Mytilus edulis: one gene and its partners. The protein of the gene in region 1 interacts with the protein of each later gene in a pairwise test. Links are inferred from orthologs where the notes say so. Each region holds a gene or a part of one and is shown on either strand. Other genes may lie near its edges.

Region 1 (7,466 bases):
AGAAGCACATTCTTCTTATAAAATCCTGACTCACCAAGAGTCTTTAAAAGTCTATCATACACGAGTACTGCACCACTTGATCGGGTGCCCCAATATGTAATTTTATTGGTCACCGAAAGCATATAGCCCATGGTATTACTTTAACCATATAAAACACACATTTCTATACTGAAATCCATACAAACTGATTGTTTGTTTATTAAATATATTCAAAAATTAGAAAGTCATATAAAACAATTGAACTGTAATAATAAATCATTCCTTGTATTCCAGCAATCCCCAAACAATATTCTTAGTCATGTGGACAACATACCCATGGTGAACCAATTAAGGTTTACAATAAAAATGTATACGCAAAATATACACCTATTCTCGCGCCATTCTAGCACCTAAGGTATTTCCAAAATTGCCTCTATATGTATACACCACCGAAAGCAGCTTCCAACAACAGCTAAGATAATGAGTGTACGTTCTTCTATTATCTTTATTCTAGTCACAACTCGTACCAGACAACCCTATTCCAGCTGTATGACAAAAATGTCATTTTAATCCAAATCCTCGCTATATCCACAATTTCTACATTTACCTAAGCCACATTGCTTAGCAACTGAAAAGATTCAGTATTATTTTCCTCAACTGACGTAACAATCCCACCAAACTGAGATAATTCAGTTTATTTCCAAAGATCAACGTTAAAATAAATATCAAGATATTATATTATAAATATAACCGAGTACAAAAACTGTACTTTTAGTCCTTTTTACAATATCAAAATAAACCGGACAAATTTCCAGTATAATATCCATGATGGCACAATATAGCCTATGACTTACGGTACCACTTTTAAGTTTGAGTATTGTTAATTCCCTCCTTTCCATGCAAGAAAGGTAAATAATTGTTATTACATCCACACTGACAAGACATAGATATGCAGACAATACTGCATGACAGAAATGCAAGTACAAAGTACAAAATGTACTTTTTAATCCAAAACAATTTGAAGTATAATCAAAACAAATTATTTGATTTTCCAAATCCATTTATGACAATAAATATGAATACGAACCAATAAACAAAACTAACAAATTAAACAACTTTTTCATGGTTAGAACGACAATGAGTATTCCCCATTGGTACCTCCATACAAACATTCCTTAGATGGCAGGTGCTTTGACGTCGAAAATATGACGTCATATTGTAAACATGGCGTAAACAATCGCCGACTTCCTGGAAATTGAAAAGCCATAATAAGCTTTCTACCACGATAAAATGCAGCTAAATATTTTATTTTGATGTGGTGTACACAAAAATGTTGTGTTTGTTTTCCTCTTATGCAAGACCAGCATATTTCCTCTGGAACGTGAACAAAATGTTCACCTTGTGCTCCAATTTGGAATTTAAAATCTGGATTTCTAATTTCATTTTCTGAAGGTAAGTCACCTTTAATTGTATTGTTGTAAAAAAACGATATTACATGCAGTACTGGTCATTGTCGGACCGGCACAAACAGCGGAAATGACAAGCAGACGAACAATAAACTGTTCGATTTTGACTCCTAGGGATACAAAAATACCTTTTATTCCGACCATATCGCCGAAATAATGTACAAACACAATGTTTGTTTAAGTTATTGTCCTCAAATATCCCTCGGACGAGCCCCCAATGTAACGGGAGTGGAAGTTTCCACTGGCTTCGTTTTCCCGTTGTCTACCCAAGTTCTGGGATATTGGACAAAGTACGTAAAACTACGTAAATATAAACAAGATGTTTATTTGAAGACATACATTATGGTTGAACATACGATTACATGAATAAATATACTAAAATACGGTGGTGGCTAGTCTACTTGTCCTTATAACGTTCCATATTTGAAAGCCAAACGATATGAGCGTCTGCTCATTTTAAATCCTTAATGTAGACTGCCCAGAACCCGGTGAGTGACGTCATACTTATAGTTCCTATGGACAACGAGCCCGGCCGGGCACGTGCCAGAACAGGAAGTCCCGACAAGGATAATTTCATGGCCGGTCTCGGAAGAAAGAGTTACGGAACTATAAGTAATTCTAAAGTTAACCAATATCCCCAAATAAATAGAATATAGACAAGTAAACAAAGTGACCACCATTACAGTTGTTTACCTCGTTCATGTGCAAAGGTAAATACGGAAATGGAGATAGATAAGGATATATGTACATTTGTATGTCACCGTAGCTATTTATTAGAGTACAATTATATACTAGTACTACACTATATGTTGTGTGTACTATATATTTACTACGTTCATTCATTGACGGACAGTTAGAAAAAGACTTTACTCTATATACTACTCTGCACGAAGTTATTATGCATGCAACCCGCCACTTTTTCTAGCACTATATATACGGTGAACTCGTACTAATGCGAGTTTCACACACTTAAGCATGCACGCTACATAAGGGACACCCTAACTTTTTCCCTACTTTCAGGTAATCACATTTTTTTTAGGCCTTAACATGCATGTACTTCTATCCAATTCATAGTTCAATTTAGAAGGAAACTTCAAGTTAACATTTGAAATAAATGTTTATTATAATTAATATTTTATGTACTTTCAGTGTGAAATAAATGGTTTGCAACATTATATTTCGTCACATATTCAACGCCCTATTTTAATTTACAAAGATTAAGTGGCCATATTACCCTGTGACATGTAATTCTGTTTAAGTGTTAAAATTTTATTTTTCATCCAAGAATGAGTCAGTACACAATGATTTGTGTTATGGCCTGTCTCTCCATTTGTCTCACCGAGTCTCTGTGACCGATGTGGGCGTTTTTTTACCATGGATTTCTTTGAATGACCCATGAAATTTTTCAATAATATTCTTCTACTTTTAAATACCTATGTTTTTAGTATACCTAACTGTTACTTATAACTATTGTCATTCAAAAGTTCTTGATAAAGCCTTAAAGGCAACTTCCGTCTTCCCGGCTGTTTTCAAATCAGAATTAGATTATCCAATAAAATTACCTTTATCAAAACTGCCATCTGGTAAGGCAATTATTTGATTCACACTTAGAGCAAACGCAATAATTTTACAAGTCTCCGGTAACCAGTACAAAAATTGGCCAATGAAAAGAAGTGTTACAAAGGCAAGGTTGGAAATCAACAACAGTTCCGGAATAAGGAATAACCCACCCTTCTTTCAGAGGAATAAGTCACTGCTAAAATGATTTTGCTTGAATTTCATAACCGAATTGTTGAAGAAACACTGAATTTAAGATTCAAAAATGCAAAAGAAGGGTAATAGATTCATTAGATTTGTATAGGGATATAGTTTTAGGGCGTTACAAATAAACCCGGTATAGTACATGCTTCCGTGTTCTTTCGATGTATCACAGTATCAGTACTACCCGTATAATGCAATAAATTGGCATTACACTTACAGCAAAAAATATAAACAATGCAAGATCTATAAAATTGACAATATACATAATTTCATGTTTGCATCACAGCTGAAGATTGACCAATCAGATAATTACATTGTGTTTATCTATTTGAATATTGGAGTTGAAGCGGTGACAAATCTTCGGGTTTTACCATATATAGGTACACAAACTTAAAACTCAATTAATTTTTTGTTGAATCATTAAAATTAAATTTGAGATCGTGTTTTCAAATCTCCTTATCATAATAGACATGTGTTTTAAAAATCTGTGTGATAAATTTTACCGTTTGGTTTTAAATTGGAATTAAAAATTGTATTTTCCCATAGAGTTTGAGGTAAAATCCCGAGAATTTCACCTCCTAGAAATTTAAAGTGCCAGGATGTTCGAAAATATGTATTAACAAAATCGTAGGATGACTTGTAGTCCTACAATGTAAGTCTGGAATGCAACTCGACTTTAAATAAAGAATTTGATGTACATGTACACAGTACACAGTACAGTAGTTGTCATTTGTTTATGTAATTCATATGTGTTTCTCGTTTCTCGATTTTTATATAGATAAAACCATTGGTTTTCCTGTTTGAATTGTTTTACAGTAGTAATTTTGGGGCCCTTTATAGATTGTTGTTCGGTGTAAGCCAGGGCTCCGTGTTGAAGGCCGTACATTGACCTATAATGGTTTACTTTTAATAAATTGTTATTTGGATGGAGAGTTGTCTCATTGGCACTCACACCAAATCTTCCTATATCTATAAATTAAAAAAAAATTAAAATAGTATCTTCGTCTCATTGGTTATTGCACTATAGACGTATTTACACTTGTATGGAAATTTGTCCGCCATTACGTAGAATCACACAGGTTCCCGTAAACTTTGACATAACAATTCAAAAAAATTGACGTCACAATAAAAAAGTGATTGTTGCTTGACATCAAAAGGTTATTCGGAGGCGATCTACGGTCATTTGGAGACAAAATTCAGCTAAATACCTAAAGTGTAAATACGTTTATTGAGAATGCATTGTGACATCACAATTTCCATTAAAAAAGAATGCATTAAAATTTATATGAATTCATATGATATACGAAAAAACATGATCTGACCAAATAATGGCTTCTAAGAAGTTTCCACTTCACAACCTGGGCAGTTTGACCGCAGGTTGTTTTGCCCACACTATTTTCTATTATTCTTAACATTAACTGTTTAGACAAAAGTTTGTTTTGATAAGGCCTAGGAAAAATTTATGATGATTTCCCCTTTCATTACTCATTAGTCCAAATAGTTTTGACGTCTTGAAAGGTTATTTAAAAAAAAAATCTGTGACCCCTTCCTATTACAATGCTGAAACCATTTTTCCAATTGGACTTTGAGATAGAATTTTCTGCAAGTATGATTAAGACTTTAACAAGTTTTTGTGTTGATTTTAGTGCTTCATTAATATAAAGGTTTACAACACCAGGATTTCCCCTGGGTCAATTATTTTTTTCGCCACCTCTTTGGCCAAAACAATATTTTTTTTCGCCACATTATTTTTTTTTTGGCCAAGTAACACAAATATATTTTTCTTTTAAAATTTTCCTTTTTTTTTTCGCACGTGTGTCACTGAAACGACTTTGAAGTACCCACTCAAATCAATTATCGATATCGAAGTTAAATGATAGTTTTAAAATCAGAGACCTTTCTGGCTTTTGTACATTTTTTGTCATAACAACAGTTTTCTTTTCTGGACTATCATTAAAAGAAGGAGAAGAGTCGTCAAAATTTTGCTTCAAACATGTGTGTCGCAAAGTGGTTAATAATCCTTGATGAAACATGTGACGGGCGCCATTTAACCATATCATTTTGTCAATCAACACCTTTATTAATTAGTCCTTTGATGTCGATTGCTATCAAATGCAATCAGCTGATTATTGATTTTCTGTCAAAATCTTATCGAGTTCAAGGTGAATTCCGAGAATTGTCTGATCAGGTAAATTCCGAGAAACCTGAAATAAAAAGTAAATAAACGAGATGGTTGAAAATAAATAGTTATATATATTAATTTCGCCAAATTCTTTCGCCAATGACGAATTTTAATCGCCACAATTATTATTTTTTCGCAAATTGCTAAAATGGCGACCGTCAGCGGAAACCCCGTACAACACAGAATAGACTTTAAACAATTAGTCTGTTACAAACCTAAGTACAAAATTTTTTTATGAGAAGTATGGAAACTAACACTTCATCTAAAATTTATACATCTGATGTGTTGATTCCATTTTAGTTTCCTTTTAACATTACATATTTGCTTTAGATATTATTCAGTCTGTTGAGATTGAGCTCTATGTTCATCATGTTTATGTTTATATTTGAATCACTTCAGTTTTCTAATATGAATGTACTTGGGAAAACTGATTAAAACTACAGTAAAAGAACCTTCAGTAGCCTAACTACCCAAAAGTAAATTTTGTTCTTTTGCATAGTATATTGGTACATGAACTATATACTGTAAATCACACTTTAATGTTGCTGCACTTAATTCAAGCCTCCTTTAGGGCATCGTCTTAGTGAAGTTTTATTTTATTTATTTTTTTATTTTAGAAACAAACCAGAATCAATTGATGTCACTGTTGCAGGTACGTTTTTTTTATTTCAATTTGATCTCTTGTGAAATCTGTAAAATCATAAGATAGTTTTAATACACTTTTAAATATGTTTAAAGGTGTAGATGTATATCATGTATAGCAAAGAAAAAGAATATATCTAAAATATTTCTCTGCACTTATCATGCTTATTCATTAATGTTAACAAAATTACTCATGACATCAACTTATTTCGGCTGTTAAATAAAATAAACACAGCATCACTTTATTTTCATAAATTATTATTGCATATGTGCTATCTTTGTTTTTTTTACTTATGCATCCTAAAACTTCATGAAAATCACTCCAGATGCAAGATAATATTTGTATGACAGTGTAATCACTTAAATAGTTTTTTTTAACATTTTTTGTGTTAATTTTTTGTTTCAATTATGTTTTACAGATTTCGATGGAGTTTTATTCCATATATCAAACCCAGAAAATGACAAAACCAAAATAATAGTAAGTATATGTGGGCTTATTTATTGGTTTTGAGCCTTTTGTGTCTCAAGAAACCATTTAATTACTTGAGAGACAGGCTTTTTCTTATCTTACATTGACTTCATTTTCAGGGTTTATTTGTCTATGATCAGTTTCCCCAACTTTTTCCAGTTTATCAGATACTACAAGCAACAGGTTAACTATATTTGGATTGTAAGGTGTACATGTCTGTCTGGCCTGGTGCATCTGACCTTGACCTCATTATCACAGAACATTGATAAGTTTACTTAATACATGTAGTTGTAGTAAAACATTCATGTTACAGACTTTCAACATGAATTCAATAACAAGTAGCCTAGTTAGATATTTCAGTGTGTGCTCTCTTATTAAAACTTTTACACTTTTCAAATATTGGGTGAAATAAATGATAGTTAGACAATATACATATAGTGTCTTGTAATATGAAATTTATTTGTATGAGGCTTAGAAACGGGGGAAATGCAAGGTTATACCGAGCATTTCCCTTGTTTCGTGCCGAATACAAATAAATTGCATATTTCAAGACACTATATGCATATTGTTTTTATACTGAAATCGATAAAAAAAATAAAAATATGTAACAAATATTGTTACAAAAAGTGTTTGGAATTTTCCTCTTGTGGTACCATTTTGGGGTATTTCCCTATGAGCGTAGTCTAGGCGGTAAAACATTGACAATTTAAGGAATTAGAAAGGGAAAATGAATTTAATTAATAATATTTAATAAACATGCTATACAAATTACCAATTTGAAGACATAACAAGTTAAGATTTATAAAGGTTTGACCATTGTTACTACACGTTGTCATGGTTGTGACGTGACGTTGTTGATGAAATACAATAGTTCCGGTAAGTAGGCGGGGCTTATAGGTTAGTTGAGGTCATTGGCGTATAAAACTAACGTTTATACGTATAGCTTTATCTGTATAGCAAAATAGCT
Region 2 (8,026 bases), on another chromosome or scaffold:
GCTGAAACTTATTTGATTAATTCGACAAATGGATCGTCTATCCTCAGATAGTATTCTCCTGTCTAGTTTGTTGATCTACCTGTACAAGCTCAGGTACAAGTGATTAGCGATCTTAATCCGGATATCCCCCAGGCGTTAGAACTGTACTGGATTATAACATAAAAAGCCTAAGGTTATGCAAATACATGCATTTGATTATAATTGATAAAAAAAATGGCGTCGGGCTACAAAATACGATGAAGTTTTGAACGATGGCGGAGACAATTTAACGATGGCGCAAGGCAATTTAACGATGGAGCAAGTCATTTGACGATGGCGCAAGACATTTGAACGATGGCGGGGCGCCATCGTTAAACAGGCCATGGAGATCCCTGTTCTGTAATTGAGTGGTTGTCGTTTGTTGCAGTGTGTCTTTTGTTTTTCATTCATTTTTTTACATTAATTAAAGGTCGTTAGTTTTTATCATTTTACATTTATGATCTGCAGCAAGGGGGGAGGGGGGGGGGGGGGAGATAATAAAATAGAGAAATTATGGAAAATGGACTGAACAGGCACTTAAAATTAAATTGCCATAGCACTTGCATCGGTTGCACTCGGGAAATAAGACCTGTATGATTGACAAGAAGAGACACATCAACTACTGATGGTATACATGGGTAAGAGGTCAAACCTGGTCAAATTTTTCTATGCGTTTTATTAAAGACAATTTTTTTTTATCAAGTTTCAAAACAGTGTAATCACATTTTAGACCAGAAAAACGAAATTATTATATTTTAGAACACAAAATGTTTTTTCTTTTACAAGTGTTGAAAAATACAGAGAAAAAAATGAATACATTATAAATTTTAAAACGCCGTTTGGTGAAGAAATTGTTAGTGGTTGACATACATTAAATAATTGGGAAATAGCACAATTATCATGTCTCTGATTTTTTTCTTTTATATATAATACCTTTCTGCTTACATTTTTTTTTGCTTGATTTGCAATTAAATAGCGGATGGTTTAAACTGATTGTCTATTTCATTTTTGAAGTAAACAATATATATCCTTCTTAGAATTTTGTTAAGGGTGTGATTCGTACTATTAATATGGCTATATACAAATGTAACCCTCTGCAAGTCTGACCGTTTAGTTGTCAACATACTTTTTGTGTACTTTATTTTTATAACGTCTTTGATTTGGTATGAAACTAGTTGTGTGTATTTTCTATTACAGTGATTTATTATATGATCCTTGATTTCACAACGTTCAGTGGAAAATATTTGATGCATATTAGGGACTTATAAGAACAATGTAATCATACATCGATCACCTCGACATGAATTTTTAGCACGTATATAAACATTCCAAAAAATTATGTACAGGAAGATAACAAAACTACCGAACTTGTCCGAAGAATGACTTATAACTCCCCCGATTCACAATTTACCAGGGGCGGATTTAGGCGGGGGCGTGTTGGGCATGCGCCCCCCCCTAAAATTTGCAAAGCATGGGTTGTCCTCAGCTCAATAAAGTATCTGAACAGACAACGAATATTAATCTCGTCGCATTGCATCTGTTTTAACATTCAAAGAAGTATATAAAACAGTAAGTTTAACAGAATCAATGTGATTACTAATAAACTGACCTACGGTTTATTTATAAGTTCTATAAATATATTATACTTCATCGCGGTACTGCGTTTGGTGAAAAATATCATAGGCTTTTAGCAGTTCAAGTAAAACAATGTGACATGGTAGTTGCGGATTTTATAAACAATTGCTTTGATAAGTTCAAAAACAACCCTACCTCACTTTTCCACGAAGTAGTCGAAAGTGCCCTACCCGCGGTTGGGTTGGTTATTTCATTATGGCACGGTCCTGTTTAAATTCTTTCTTAATGAAAGATAGGAATGCTGGTTCAAGCGAAAGGTTCGTTTATTGATTCGTATCATTGTTTAATATCTCTGTATGATATCAATATACTAGTGTTTCTCACTTTCAACCTGTAAAGTTTACCTTGCCGAAGCATGCATAAACGGGGAACGCCCCCAACCCGTACTACCGTATTACATAGGATCCCACGAAAATAAACATATCTTCGCAAGGACCTCATTCTGATTTTACTTGTATGCGGTAGAAATGTATATAAAAAGTTTGACACGACCTCCGGAAATAGAAGAAAAGACAATTAAAAATCGCTGGCAAAAGTAGAAATTCTTGTTTTCAAAATCTTATATTGGTCGGTGAGCTATCATTGAGTCAATGAATAGAAGCTCGCAGATTTCTTGTTAATTATAGTGATTACAAATTGTCAGGGGTGGATTTATGCGGGTTTACCTTGAAACTTCAATTTCACGCTAATTTTACCACAAAATATTTATTTCTCGCCACGCTTGGCAAGATATCTAAATTGCATCCTCTCTAGAAGAATATTTCAATAATTTCGATAAAAAATTTAAGTTTGCGCCCCCACTAACCGAAAATCCTGGATCCGCCCCTGTTTACAAGATATCGATAGACGGCAATTGCCAATAAAGGCTAATTAAGGCTAATTAATACCAAGCGTGACATGTATTTAATAAGAGGGTGATAAAATTTCGGAAAATATCTGCTTTTGATGTGAGTCCAGTACTTTATCTATATGGCTTTTATATCTATGATTTGACATTGCTCACTATTGAAGATACAACATATTTTCTTTTCCGGTGAAAAGTGGTCACACAGACATTCATATCATATCTTTTTTTTATAAATCGAGTAAAGTGGCTAGTATTACAATATTTATATTTAGTTCTCGAGACTGGAAAACAAAAAGAGAAGAGTGGGTTGTGCTTTTTGTGGATCGTTGTGTCTGACAAGAGTGCAACCCTGATTTGTCTACGTCAATAACATCATTGGTACATTGAATATAATATGAGGCTTTTTAACTTAAGTTTTATAACAACGTGCCATCATCTAAGGGTACGTCGGGCTTTGTTTTACACTCCGACATTGTTTCCACACTTGAAAATGGCGCTGTTCAAACAAACCGCATTTTTGATTGGCTAATGAATTTGAAGACAATTTCCCATAGTTCAAAACAAAAACAGGAAGTAGCATGCTGTCAAGAAAAATGTCAACAAATACAAATCCGGTCCAATAATTTGGTCGTCTGAATTACATTCCTACTGGTAATTCGAAGATTTGGTAATTTCTGTTTAATTCCATTTCACCCAAGCCTAGCCGTTAATTTTTCTCTGATCCAAAATCCACGATGTACAGATAAATATGTGCAAAGCTGAAATCACTGAATCTCTGTTCTTTTATTTTATAGACCCAGCTATCAACTAGTGATCTTAACTACTCAATTAAAAAAAAATATTTATTAGGATATCATCTCTAAAATTACAACCATTTACTTGATCTATTAAAATCAATAATTTATGAGGGTATATCTGAGGGTAGTAATGCCCTTTAGGGTCAGGCGTCAAAAGGTCATTTTCGGCTACCGTAAGCATCAAATTGGTAAAATTTTTAACGTGATTCGTCAAAATATCCTTATCGTGATTTGTCAGAGGTCTCAAATAATTACCGTTACTGTTATTTTTTGAAATAATTTAACGAGATTAATCAAAGTCAGACTATTTTTATACAACCACAAAACGAAAATTTTTTGGTCATATATTGGTATCATGTTGGCGTCGGCGTCGAATACTTTTAGTTTTCGCACTCTTACTTTAGTATAAGTAAATAGAAATCTATGAAATTTTAACACAAGGTTTATGACCACAAAAGGAAGGTTGGGATTGATTTTGGGAGTTATGATCCCAACATTTTAGGAATTAGGGGCCAAAAAGGGCCCAAATAAGCATTTTCTTGGTTTTCGCACTAAAACTTTAGTTTGAGTAAATAGAAATCTATGAAATTTTGACACAAGGTTTATGACCACAAAAGGAAGGTTGGGATTGATTTTGGGAGTTTTGGTTCCTACAGTTTAGGAATTAGGGGCAAAAAAGGGCCCAAAAAAGCATTATTCTTACTTTTCGCACAATAACTTTAGTTTAAGTCAATAGAAATCAATGATATTTAAACACCACAAGGTTTATGACCACAAAAGGAAGGTTGGTAATTATTTTGGGAGTTGAGGTCCAAACAGTTTAGGAATAAGGGGCCAAAAAGGGGCCCAAATAAGCATTTTTCTTGGTTATCGCACCATAACTTTAGTATAAGTATATAGATATCTATGAAATTTAAACACAAGGTTAATGACCATAAAAGGAAGGTTGGGATTGGTTGTGGGAGTTTTGGTCCCAACAGTTTAGGAATAAGGGGTCCAAAGGGTCCAAAATTAAACTTTGTTTGATTTCATCAAAAAATGAATAATTGGGGTTCTTTGATATATATATACCGAATCTAACTGTGTATGTAGATTCTTAATTTTTGGTCCCGTTTTCAAATTGGTCTACATTATAAAGTCCTAAGGGTCCAAAATTAAACTTAGTTTGATTTTAACAAAAATTGAATTCTTGGGGTTTTTTTATATGCTGAATCTAAACATGTACTTAGATTTTTGATTATGGGCCCAGTTTTCAAGTTGGTCCAAATCAGAATCCAAAATTATTATATTAAGTATTGTGCAATAGCAAGAAATTTTCAATTTCACAGTACTGAGGCAATTATTGCACAGGATTGTGCAATAGCAAGAAATTTTCAATTTCACAGTATTGCGCAATAGCAAGAAATCTTCAATTGCACAGTATTGTGCATTAGCAAGTATTTTCAATTGCACAGTATTGCGCAATAGCAAGAAATATCTAATTGCACAGTATTGCGCAATAGCAAGAAATTTCAATTAGAGTTATCTTTCTTTGTCCAGAATAGTAGTTGAATCAACTTAAATCATTGTTTTATACAATATACAATGTATATTCACTTTTACTATCAACTGATAAATTAAAACAATCTTTACCATTCAGTGATAACAAGCACTTTTTTTTTAATATTTTATGATGTTAGTCTTCACGCCGAGTGGCAGCCTGGGCAGCCCAGGCTGGTGAAATTGCTCTTGGGCCTGTAAAAATCAGACCTACAGGCCAACAGAATCTAACTAAAAATTTCCGCTGTAGGTCGAGTAATTTGTAACAACAGCAAAGAAAAGTGCAATAAAGATATTATTTAAAAAAAAAAAAAAAAAAAAAAATTCTAAAATTGAGCTGCGGGCCTGTAGATGTAGCAGTTCAGCGTGAAGACTGTGATGTACTTAAATGAGTAGTTATTCTTGCAAACTCCATTAGAAATTTGAATTGAGATTGGTTTTGGAATAAAGGAAAGGGGGATGTGAACAAAAAAAATTGGGGGGGGGGGGGGGGGGGGGGGGGGCAAAGTGAATTGCTCAAAGGCAAAACAAAAATTTTAAGTTCATTAGACCACATTCATTCTGTGTCAGAAACCTATGCTGTGTCAACTATTTAATCACAATCTAATTTAGAGCTGAATCCAGCTTGAATGTTGTGTCCATACTTGGCCCAACCGTTCAGGTTTCAACCTCTGAGGTTGTATAAAGCTGCACCCTGGGGAGCATCTGGTTTATCCTCTAAACCAAGTGTACATTTTATTGTCACGCACTAAAAACTACAAATAACGTCATTTGGCAAGCATTTTTACCGTTTATCGTCATGAAAGTATCCCCATTACCACCCTCAAATGTATGACCTGTCAGGCTATTGACAAAATGTAGAAAAATAGCTAATGGAGAAGGTACAGCTTGATTACGTTAGATTAAATTATATCAATTCGTCAATCTTTTTTCAAGTTACGGTATTAGAATAATGTCATTAATGATTATCAAAATACATGTGAGCTTTTTCCATTACAGACAAATGTCATGATGAGCTCTTACAGCAAGATTGTGAGTGTATTAAATCTTGGAAAAATGGGATTCCTTGATGCTTATAAGGTACAGACCAAATTTGCACGACAGCATTTAGACAGTATGGCAGGAGTACACGGTTCAAATGGAGAAAATGTTGTATTACTTGTAGAGCATAACCCAGTTTATACCATTGGAATTAGATCTAAAGACTATTCGGAAGAATACGAACAAAAACTTAAAAAGCTAGGTGCTGAATTTTGCCGAACAGATAGAGGTGGTTTAATTACCTATCATGGACCAGGACAACTTGTTGCTTATCCAATTTTAAATCTAAAATATTTTACACCAAATATGAAGTGGTATATTTGTTCCATGGAAAAGACAATGATTGGAACTTGTAAATATTATGGTCTAAATGCCCATACAACAGAAGATACAGGAGTATGGATTGGAGATAGGAAAATTGGAGCTATTGGTAAGTCTGAAAGGTCTTTTTTACCATCAATATTAGCTATTCATCAAGATACACTATCATGGCTAATGTTAAGCAAAAATAAAAGTTTTACTTTTGGTTTTATAACCATTATTGATCATTATTTGTGAAAGACATTCATTTTGATGTTTTGCACAGTTGAAAATTACTAAAAATTGATGCAGGAATGAATGATCAAACACTTTATTTGTTTTGTATACTTTTGATTAAAAAATTTTTTTTTATCATGTTTACAGAAGTTAAAATTTCATGAATATATTTATTTTTGAGCTACAATTTATGTTTCATAACGTCATACGAATTTCTCAATTAGTACCGGTACTCTACAAATATGCATTTAATTTGCCACTGGACATTAAACAACAATCCATCCATTATTAATGAATTGTACCAGTTTTTTGTGAGTTTACTAGTCTGTGTGATTTTCTTTTGTGTATTAATGAGTGCTAGAAACAATTCGTAAATTTTGTAGCATTAAACTCAATGCTCAAATATAATTTGTTTATATTTTATCAATTATTATTATATTGTAGGTGTTCATGGTCGCAGATATGTAACAACTCATGGTGTATCTTTGAACTGTAATACTGATTTGAACTGGTTCAAACATATAGTACCTTGTGGATTAAAAGGAAAAGATGTGACGTCTCTTAGTAAAGAAAAGGGCTGTGATATTAATATAAATGATGCTGTAAAACCATTTTTAGAAAATTTTCAAAGACAATTTGATTGTCAATTAAAGTATATAGATAAAGAAACAGAGGAATATTAACACAAAATAAGTATATAATTATAATATAACAATGAATCATGTTTTAATTTATATAAAAAATATATTTTATTTATTTCCACATTTTTATAGATCCAACATTATGACTAAGAAAATAAATTGTTTATAAAAAAAATATTTGCCAAATTGATCTATTGGAAAGAAGTTATAAAATTGTGAATATGAATTTAATTAGAGATTCTATGTTTTGAAAATAATTTGATGTGAAGATATGAACAGGAGATATGTGTCAATAGAACAACAAACCAACAACACAATAAACAAAATGATATTGACCCATTTAATGTGATTGTGTCTTCAGGTGAGGACTCTTTGATGGTGCTGTAGAAAAGAATCTTCCTTCACTTCTCTGGGTAAAAATTACATGAAAAGTGCACAGGCTGTTATGTCTTGTCTGTTTAAACAACCAGGATTGATTTAATGTTATTAGTCCTAAAGAAAATGTTTAACTACAAATATCACCTTTATTTAAAGTTGACAATGATCTGTGAAAATGAGGTCATAGTCAGATAATTTATAAACCAAGCCGGACAGACATAAAAATTTACAATAATTGTCACAATCATTCCATACACCAATTATTGTTGACCTTATTAATAATAGCATCTAAGAAACAGATTAAACCAGAAAAACATTGAACATTGAACCATGAAAAAGAGGTCAAGGACAGATGACACCTGCCAGAAAGACATGACTACTTCACAATCAATCTATACACCAAATATAGTTGACAAATAGCTTATAGTATTATAAAACAGACCCAAAAAAAACAACTAAATGAACCATGAAAAGGAGGTCATGGTCAGATTATACTTGCCAAAATCATATGTACAACTTATAATCTTTCCTTACACCAATTGTAATTGATGTATTGCTTATAGTATTTGAAAAACAGAACAAAACATAAAACC
Region 3 (7,242 bases), on another chromosome or scaffold:
TTTATTGTGGCGGCTAAGTTAGCTAGTCGCCCTCTCCTTTGTCCTTCTACTTTAGGAGGTTCTACTTCCTCCTCTAAGGAATTCTGTAAAGACTTCCTAGGAACTGGTTTAGGATGTGAATTGTCAGAATCTGTTCCATCTAAATTCAAAATTATGCCAACATTTTAATTACAACTTTCATTTTCTTAATTTAACAGATGGACTCTTTTTAGCTTTTATCTTGGGTGGGGAGGAATCATTTATAGATTTTTTTTTGGCTTGGACCAATATTTGTTTTACTATTTAATTACATTTAAAGTCGAACATATTTTTCTGTAAGATTTTTTGGGTGAAAATCGTTAGCTGATCTTTATTGTTGCCTGTGTTAGAGGCAACGATTCTTCAAACAATATGGAATGGAAGCTAAATTTCAAAAGGGATTATGACATGGTGTGCCCACAAACATGCATTACCCTGGCTCCTCCACATTTAGGCCTGATCAAATCAGAAATCTGTACAGTACTCCTGTGGTTATTACTTGCAGTCTGTCATAACTGTTCATTTAATGTACATAATGTAATATTTGCACAAATCAGGTTGATGTTTTTTTCTTATCTTTTGAGCTACTTTTATGATGTTAATTTTTACAAAGAAATGCAAATTGTGTACAAGATTATTTCATACCTCCTGAAGACCAATCGGTTCTCTGTTGTGTCAAATTATGCATTCTAGATCTCACACTACTAATAGCTGGTGTGTCTGGCTTTATATTGATTTCATCTTCTCTCACACACTGTCTCTTGCCAGGGGATGCTGAAAAAAATATGGTTACTGTGAAATAGTGGTATTAAAAATTTGTAACACAACATTAACCCAATTATAAATTCTTTTGCATATTTAAAAGTACAAAGTTTCATACAATTTAAATATTCTATTTATCTACCTTCTTGTTTTCCTTTGTACATTACAAAGTGATTCTGCAATTCCCTACAAATCTCCATGACAGTTAAACAGAGTGAACTGAAATGACCACTACAATGACATATACATGTAGACACAGTGATTCAGCATGTCACTTTAAAACACTGTGACAGTAAAGTCAAAATTAATTTGGCCAGATACCATGAAATATATTCATATCTTTAACCCAGTTTTCTAGATATGCATATGTCAAGATATATATGTACATCTATTAAAAACTGCAAATTGGTTTCCCTTAAAACTATACATGTTAACTTATAGTTCTGTTTCTGCTTGATATGTCTCCTTACTTCCCAGACAAATTTTATGTACATTTTTGGTTACGCCCAAAACATTTGAAATTTCCCAATATTTCAAACGCAAATTATTGAAGAAAAGAAAACATTTTACCTACTATGTACCAACCTATCCTATTCATCTGCAGCCAGTAGAAAGAAAACAAGCATGTAGGTTTTTTGTGTATATTTGCATGACATACTTGTACATGAGTTAAAATATTTAACTACCAATACTACTTGTATCATATAACAATTTAAATACCTTCTTTCATGAGAGTTTTAGTATCAGATTGTGGTAAATTGTCTGTGGTATTATCCTGCAGGAATCTTTTTCTAGGTGTTACTTCAGGGGTTTTCCCCATTTTCTGATTCAACATCTCTCTTCTCTGTCTCGTCCTCTCTAGAAGTTGCTGAAAGAAGAAATAAGTTTACCTTAATTAATAGTTTCAAGCTTTAACATTATTTTCTGTTGTGAAGCATCAAAATTAAACAGACATATTCATTTATTGTTAAAACATATTACAAGATACCAATTCTAGATGTTATTCATTTGGAGAGAAAGCACCAATTAAGAGGGTAGTAATGGCCTTTCTCGTCAAGCATCAAACCTTCATTTTTGGCTATCATTTATAGAGACAAATCCTGATTCTTCAAAGGTCTCAAAAAAATTATGTACATGTAGATGAAAGTGATTCTACATGGATTGGGCACACAAAAAAGGTGCCAGACCTCCAAATCCTGAAAGCAAAGTTAAGTGAGTCTGATAGGAGTCTATAAAAAAATATAGTGTAGTATCCGGAGGGTTAGTTTTAGGTCATCAGACAGACCATCTAGAGATGTCCGAAGGACTACCCAGAAACCATTCTCTTCCGGTTGAAACTATTAATGGCTATACAGCAGACGAATTCACTAGAACAGCAATCGGCCGTTCCTGACTGCAGGAACGACCATCCAAGGTATATATCGGTCTTGAGTTATACTCGGGATCACAACAATAGCATATAGCATGATGCAGGATTGACAGATTGTTTGAAAGCATTGACACAGAAAACATGTCAAGCACGAAACTTGAAATTACAAGCGTAATCATTACAATGATATAAGCTGGATAAGACAGACCCCCTGTAAATCTACTAAACTTGTCTAGACTAAAGAGTGAGTGATGACTAATGACGAGTAATTTGTCTACTATTAAATGAACACCCCTCCAGTCCATATAACTATAAGGTTATTCAAATTTAAGATTAAATTCTGGCATTCGTTATTAGGTGGAATTTGAAATAAGTTTGACTTATCATGTTTACAGACAAATCATACTCATCAGTGGCAGATCCAGCGGGAGGGGAGGGTTTCCAGGTGGACACCCCCCTTTTTTTGGATGATCAATGGATTTTAATAATAATAGGGACATATGATTGAACCCCCACCCTCTCATCCTTCCTCCTGGGTTGGAACCCCACTTTTAAAAATAGCTAGATCCAACCATGCACATGTTATTTATTTTGAATTTTCAACAATGCAAATATGATCAAATATTCAAAACAACGCCTCGTCTGGTCAATATTTTTCATTTGGTGAGTTGTGTGATGTTCACAACTAAGACAATACAAATTTCATTACTTTTCAGTTCTGTAGTTTTTACTTACCTCTGTATACGGGTCCATTATAAATACAAATTCTGTTTATGTTCAAATATTTTCGGTAACATTAGCCATTCCAATTCAAATTTGGCGGTACAAAACAACGTGAAATCTCGAACATCTGCGAGAAAATTCAAATATTTTGATCTCGATCTACAATGCGTTTTCGTAAGTGATCTTTGAAATTGGTGTCACGTGGTGGTCATGTGACTTTGCAGAAGGTGTTAAAAAAATCCAAAGAAATGTCACTTGGGAAAGCAGTTGCCGTTGTCCTTGTTTTTGTTATATGCTTATATGGTTCAGAAGCATCTAGATCGAGAAACTTTCTAAATTTCGGCGCGAATGGTGGTACCAACTGTGCCAGTAAGTTTCAATTGATAATTAGATACTCATTTATGATATAGTATTGCACAGTGGGTCAGATTATTTTACTACAGCAGTTACATATCTGTCTAGACAGCTATTATCTGATAGAGGACAAAGTCTGTTTTAGTACTTTTGTAAACTGATAGAATTAACTTATTTGTTAACTCTTCAATATACTTTATTTTATTCTATTTTACATGGTATACTGATGACAAAACAAATATTTGTTATACTAGTTGTTTGCACACATAATAGTAGTCCTAATAATAGTCAGGCATTACCTGTGAATGGGGACAAAGTCTGTATGATTGTTTTTTAATTCACAAATGTTTTAAAAACAGAAAGGGAAATATCGTAATTTAGGTTTTGTTGTTAGGGATTTTAGTTGTGACGTTATTTAAGTTATGAAGTCATATTCAATGTAAACAAAGAAACGCTGTCATCAAGTAACGTTTTTTTTATAACAAACAAATTAAAAAAAAAAAATAAGTATTGATTTCCTTTTTTAGACTGATAAATATATATTTTATTCAAAGTCTCATGCAAACAAGACCGGAATCGGAAGTAGATTTCTGCGCAGATGCAGGGATTTGAAAAAAACTGAAAAAAAAGTTAACAATTTCGAGTTCATAAGTAGAATGAAAAATTTGGGAAATTTTCCCGATTTTTTTTTTTTTTTTTTTAATTATTTTTCAACCGTTATAGGGGACTTCATCCCCATAATAATGATGCTGTCTGCTAAAAGGTATTTTTCGATTTTTATTTTTTATCCCTTATTGTCACAGGAAGGAGCCAAGGCAAAAATTTAGAATAAGCATTTTAAGATGAAGAAAGACCCTACATATAAAAAGGTCTAATTAGGTCTTAGACTCTTATTACTGAAACAAAAAAATCAAAGGAAAGAAGGTATCGTCAAACACTAACTTTTAAGATTTGACTATTTTGGAACAATTGTTAGAAATGGTTGTCTTGATTATTGTTCACATGTTTGCAATCTTATTTAATTATTTCACATATATATAAAAGTATATGTCAGAAATAAGGTATTTGAATTTATCTTAGTGTCAGACAGTCATTGACATAAACTTAAAGTGATTTTTTTTCTTTTTTTCTGAACATCTCTGTAGACTTGTACAAATACAGAAGATGGATTGGTTTATTATTTCTTGCTTAACATCAAGTAGTAAATCAAAAGATCGATGTGTTTTGAATTTGTCTTTCTAGATTGGGGACGTTAGATGTACAATGAAAATGTAAAGCTAAATGTGTTTAAAAATGAAAATGTTCTTTTTTCAGCATGTACTGTTATTTTTACATTTGGAGAACAACTAGCAACTATACACAATGAAACAGTAACAAAATCTTTAGAAAGGTTCTGCAATTATTTACCACCTGCAGTTGCAATACCATGTAAAGTATTTGTAGACTACATTGCATATGAGATTATACGTGTGTAAGTATTAATATGAGGCAGGCATTACCTGTAAATGGGGACGAAGTCTGTATGAATTATTTTTTTGTAACTTACATTTATATATTTGTTAAGAAAAAGAAACGGAAATACCGTAACGTTTCCGATTTTGGTTCTTTTGTTAGGGATTTTAGTTGTGACGTTATTTAAGTCATGACGTCATATGCAATGTAAACAAAGAAACGCTATCATCAGGTAACATTTTTTCATATCAAGGAATTATTAAAAATGAAATTGGTATTGCGCATTCCTTCCTATTTTATACTAGACTGATAAATATATATTTTACTCAAAGTTTCATACAAACGAGACCGGAAAAAGGAAGTACATTGTACATTTCTGCGCAGGTCCGGGATTTCAAAACATGACATAAAAAAAATTGAACGATTTTGAGTTCATTAGTACAATGAAAAATTCGGGAAATTTTCCTAATTTTTTTTTTTATTGAATTTTCTACTGTTATTGGGGACTTCGTCCCCATAATATTCTGTGCTTTGTGGTCAAATAGATATAAAAAAGAAGATGTGGTATGATTGCCGATGAGACAACTATCCACAAAAGACCAAAATGACACAGACATTAACAACTATAGGTCACTGTACGGCCTTCAACAATGAGCAAAGCCCATACCGCATAGTCAGCTATTATAGGCCCCGATAAGACAATGTAAAACAATTCAAACGAGAAAACTAACGGCCTTATTTATGTAAACAAATGAACGAAAAACAAATATGTAACACATAAACAAACTACAACCACTGAATTACAGGCTCCTGATGTTTGTTATTGCCATGTAACTAGTGACAGGATTTACAGAGAGGACATTATTCATGAGAAAATATCATCAAAGAAACCAGGCTTATAAACTAGTATGCCAGATATGCATCTGGTCTATATAATCTCTAATAGTGGCACTTGAACCAAATATTTAGAAGGTTAACCTAATTACAAAGTTGAAGGCCATTATAAACCTTTTTTTTTTTTTTTTTTTTTTTTTTTTTTAAAGTTTGTCAAATCTAACTAAGCTAGGTCATTTACACCTTATAGGTAGTAGGAAAACCTTTGTATTTCAATTTTGAGTTTTCAAATTGTTTGACATGTAATTTAGTCAGGTTGCACAAAGAGTGTATGTTTTGTAGACTCATTGTTTATTCTTTGAAGATTTTTTTGTTCCATAGTACATGTATTCAGTGACGGATCCAGAACTTTTCATAAGGGAGGGCCTGCTCCAGTCATGCTTCAGTAATTCCCTATATAACCAACCAAATTTTTCCCACAATGGGGGGGGGGGGGGCATCAGGGCCCCCTGGATCCGCCTATGGTATTGGTACTTATCCCTGTCCCTTATACTAATTTTGTAAAACAAAATTATTTGGCATGTAGGTAATTGATAAACTCTAAATTTATTGTTATCTTATTTTTAGATTACCAGCAAAATACAATCCAGATGAAGCCTGTCAAGGACTTGGTTTTTGCTTCACTGATACAGGAGAAGAACAGTGCCACCTGTTTCCAAAACCAAAGGTATGTTATTTCAATAATGCCCTTCATAGACATGATGTTTTATGTTTATTAATCATTGTCTATCTGTATATTCACATAATGTGTAAAAGATTAAGAATGCTTTGATCTAATTTCAAGAAACTATATGAAGTATTTCAATCAGTGAAAAAAAACTCTGTTTACGATTTAAAAAATTTTAAGCAAGAAATGATGACGTATTTAAGAAAGTGTTTCAAATGATCAAATTATGTTAAAAAAATAATTTAGAAAGTCTTGTTTATTATGACCTAAAATACTTACCTCACATGCAATAATCCACCTTTATGACTAATTGCATGCATTTACTATTGCCATTTTTTTTTTATAAATGAATGAAAATGCAAGATTAATTATTGTGATTCATGAAAAGTTGCCTTCAGTGACTGTCATACAAGTGAGAGGTTTAGCTAGCTATAAAACCAGGTTCAATCCACCATTTTCTACATTAGAAAATGCCTGTACCAAGTCAGGAATATGACAGTTGTTATCCATTCGTTTGATGTGTTTGGACTTTGATTTTGGACTTTCCTTTTTGAATATTCCTCGGAGTTCAGTATTTTTGTGTTTTTACTTTTTTCAGAGTACAGACATATGCATATGATATCATAATGCCACTTCTTACTATTGCATAAGGCATCTAGTCGCATTATTCTCATTAGTATAAACATCCCAATAATTTCTGAATTTATAGTATATAGATTGTTTTCCCATATAGGTTAGCCGAGTATTCAATGCAAGAAGGAAGAGGGCAGCTCCTAACATATGTGAACTGCCTGGAATTAAAGAGATTTGTAAACTCATAGACAAGTAAGAAGTTATCAATTTACCTGGTCAATATGGCCAATCACAAAAATTACATGGAACACATTTTTGCATCTGAAGAGCAACACAGTGGGTGCCACAATTTAAGCAGGAACTAAATACTTTATGTCTGTAATGCAATATGATGTTACTTTTATTAATCAATCAGCAATTTATCCCCGGT

Evidence for each region.
Region 2: the proteins of rac GTPase-activating protein 1-like (region 1) and protein ECT2-like interact in a two-hybrid assay, tested with the Drosophila melanogaster proteins (2 studies listed by BioGRID). The link is inferred for Mytilus edulis from reciprocal best matches to the Drosophila melanogaster genes tum and pbl.
Region 3: the proteins of rac GTPase-activating protein 1-like (region 1) and anillin-like interact in a two-hybrid assay, tested with the Drosophila melanogaster proteins (2 studies listed by BioGRID). The link is inferred for Mytilus edulis from reciprocal best matches to the Drosophila melanogaster genes tum and scra.

Annotation. Positions count from the first base shown.
Region 1 is NC_092345.1:92,660,125-92,667,590, reverse strand, and holds the start of rac GTPase-activating protein 1-like, read right to left. Parts: upstream 3,020-7,466; 5' UTR 2,896-3,019; exon of another isoform or gene 2,879-2,895; intron 1-2,878. Other genes in the region: actin-related protein 2/3 complex subunit 2-like, read left to right, coding at 3,207-3,280, 6,006-6,040, 6,450-6,508.
Region 2 is NC_092346.1:78,100,365-78,108,390, reverse strand, and holds the start of protein ECT2-like, read right to left. Parts: upstream 3,028-8,026; 5' UTR 2,974-3,027; coding exon 2,931-2,973; intron 1-2,930. Other genes in the region: octanoyl-[acyl-carrier-protein]:protein N-octanoyltransferase LIPT2, mitochondrial-like, read left to right, coding at 5,709-5,717, 5,836-6,307, 6,859-7,097.
Region 3 is NC_092348.1:40,061,355-40,068,596, forward strand, and holds the start of anillin-like, read right to left. Parts: upstream 3,028-7,242; 5' UTR 2,903-3,027; coding exon 2,885-2,902; intron 1,649-2,884; coding exon 1,501-1,648; intron 793-1,500; coding exon 664-792; intron 140-663; coding exon 1-139. Other genes in the region: acyloxyacyl hydrolase-like, read left to right, coding at 3,121-3,241, 4,541-4,697, 6,140-6,239, 6,973-7,064. UniProt on the Drosophila melanogaster protein: Required for cytokinesis. Essential for the structural integrity of the cleavage furrow and for completion of cleavage furrow ingression and proper formation of the midbody.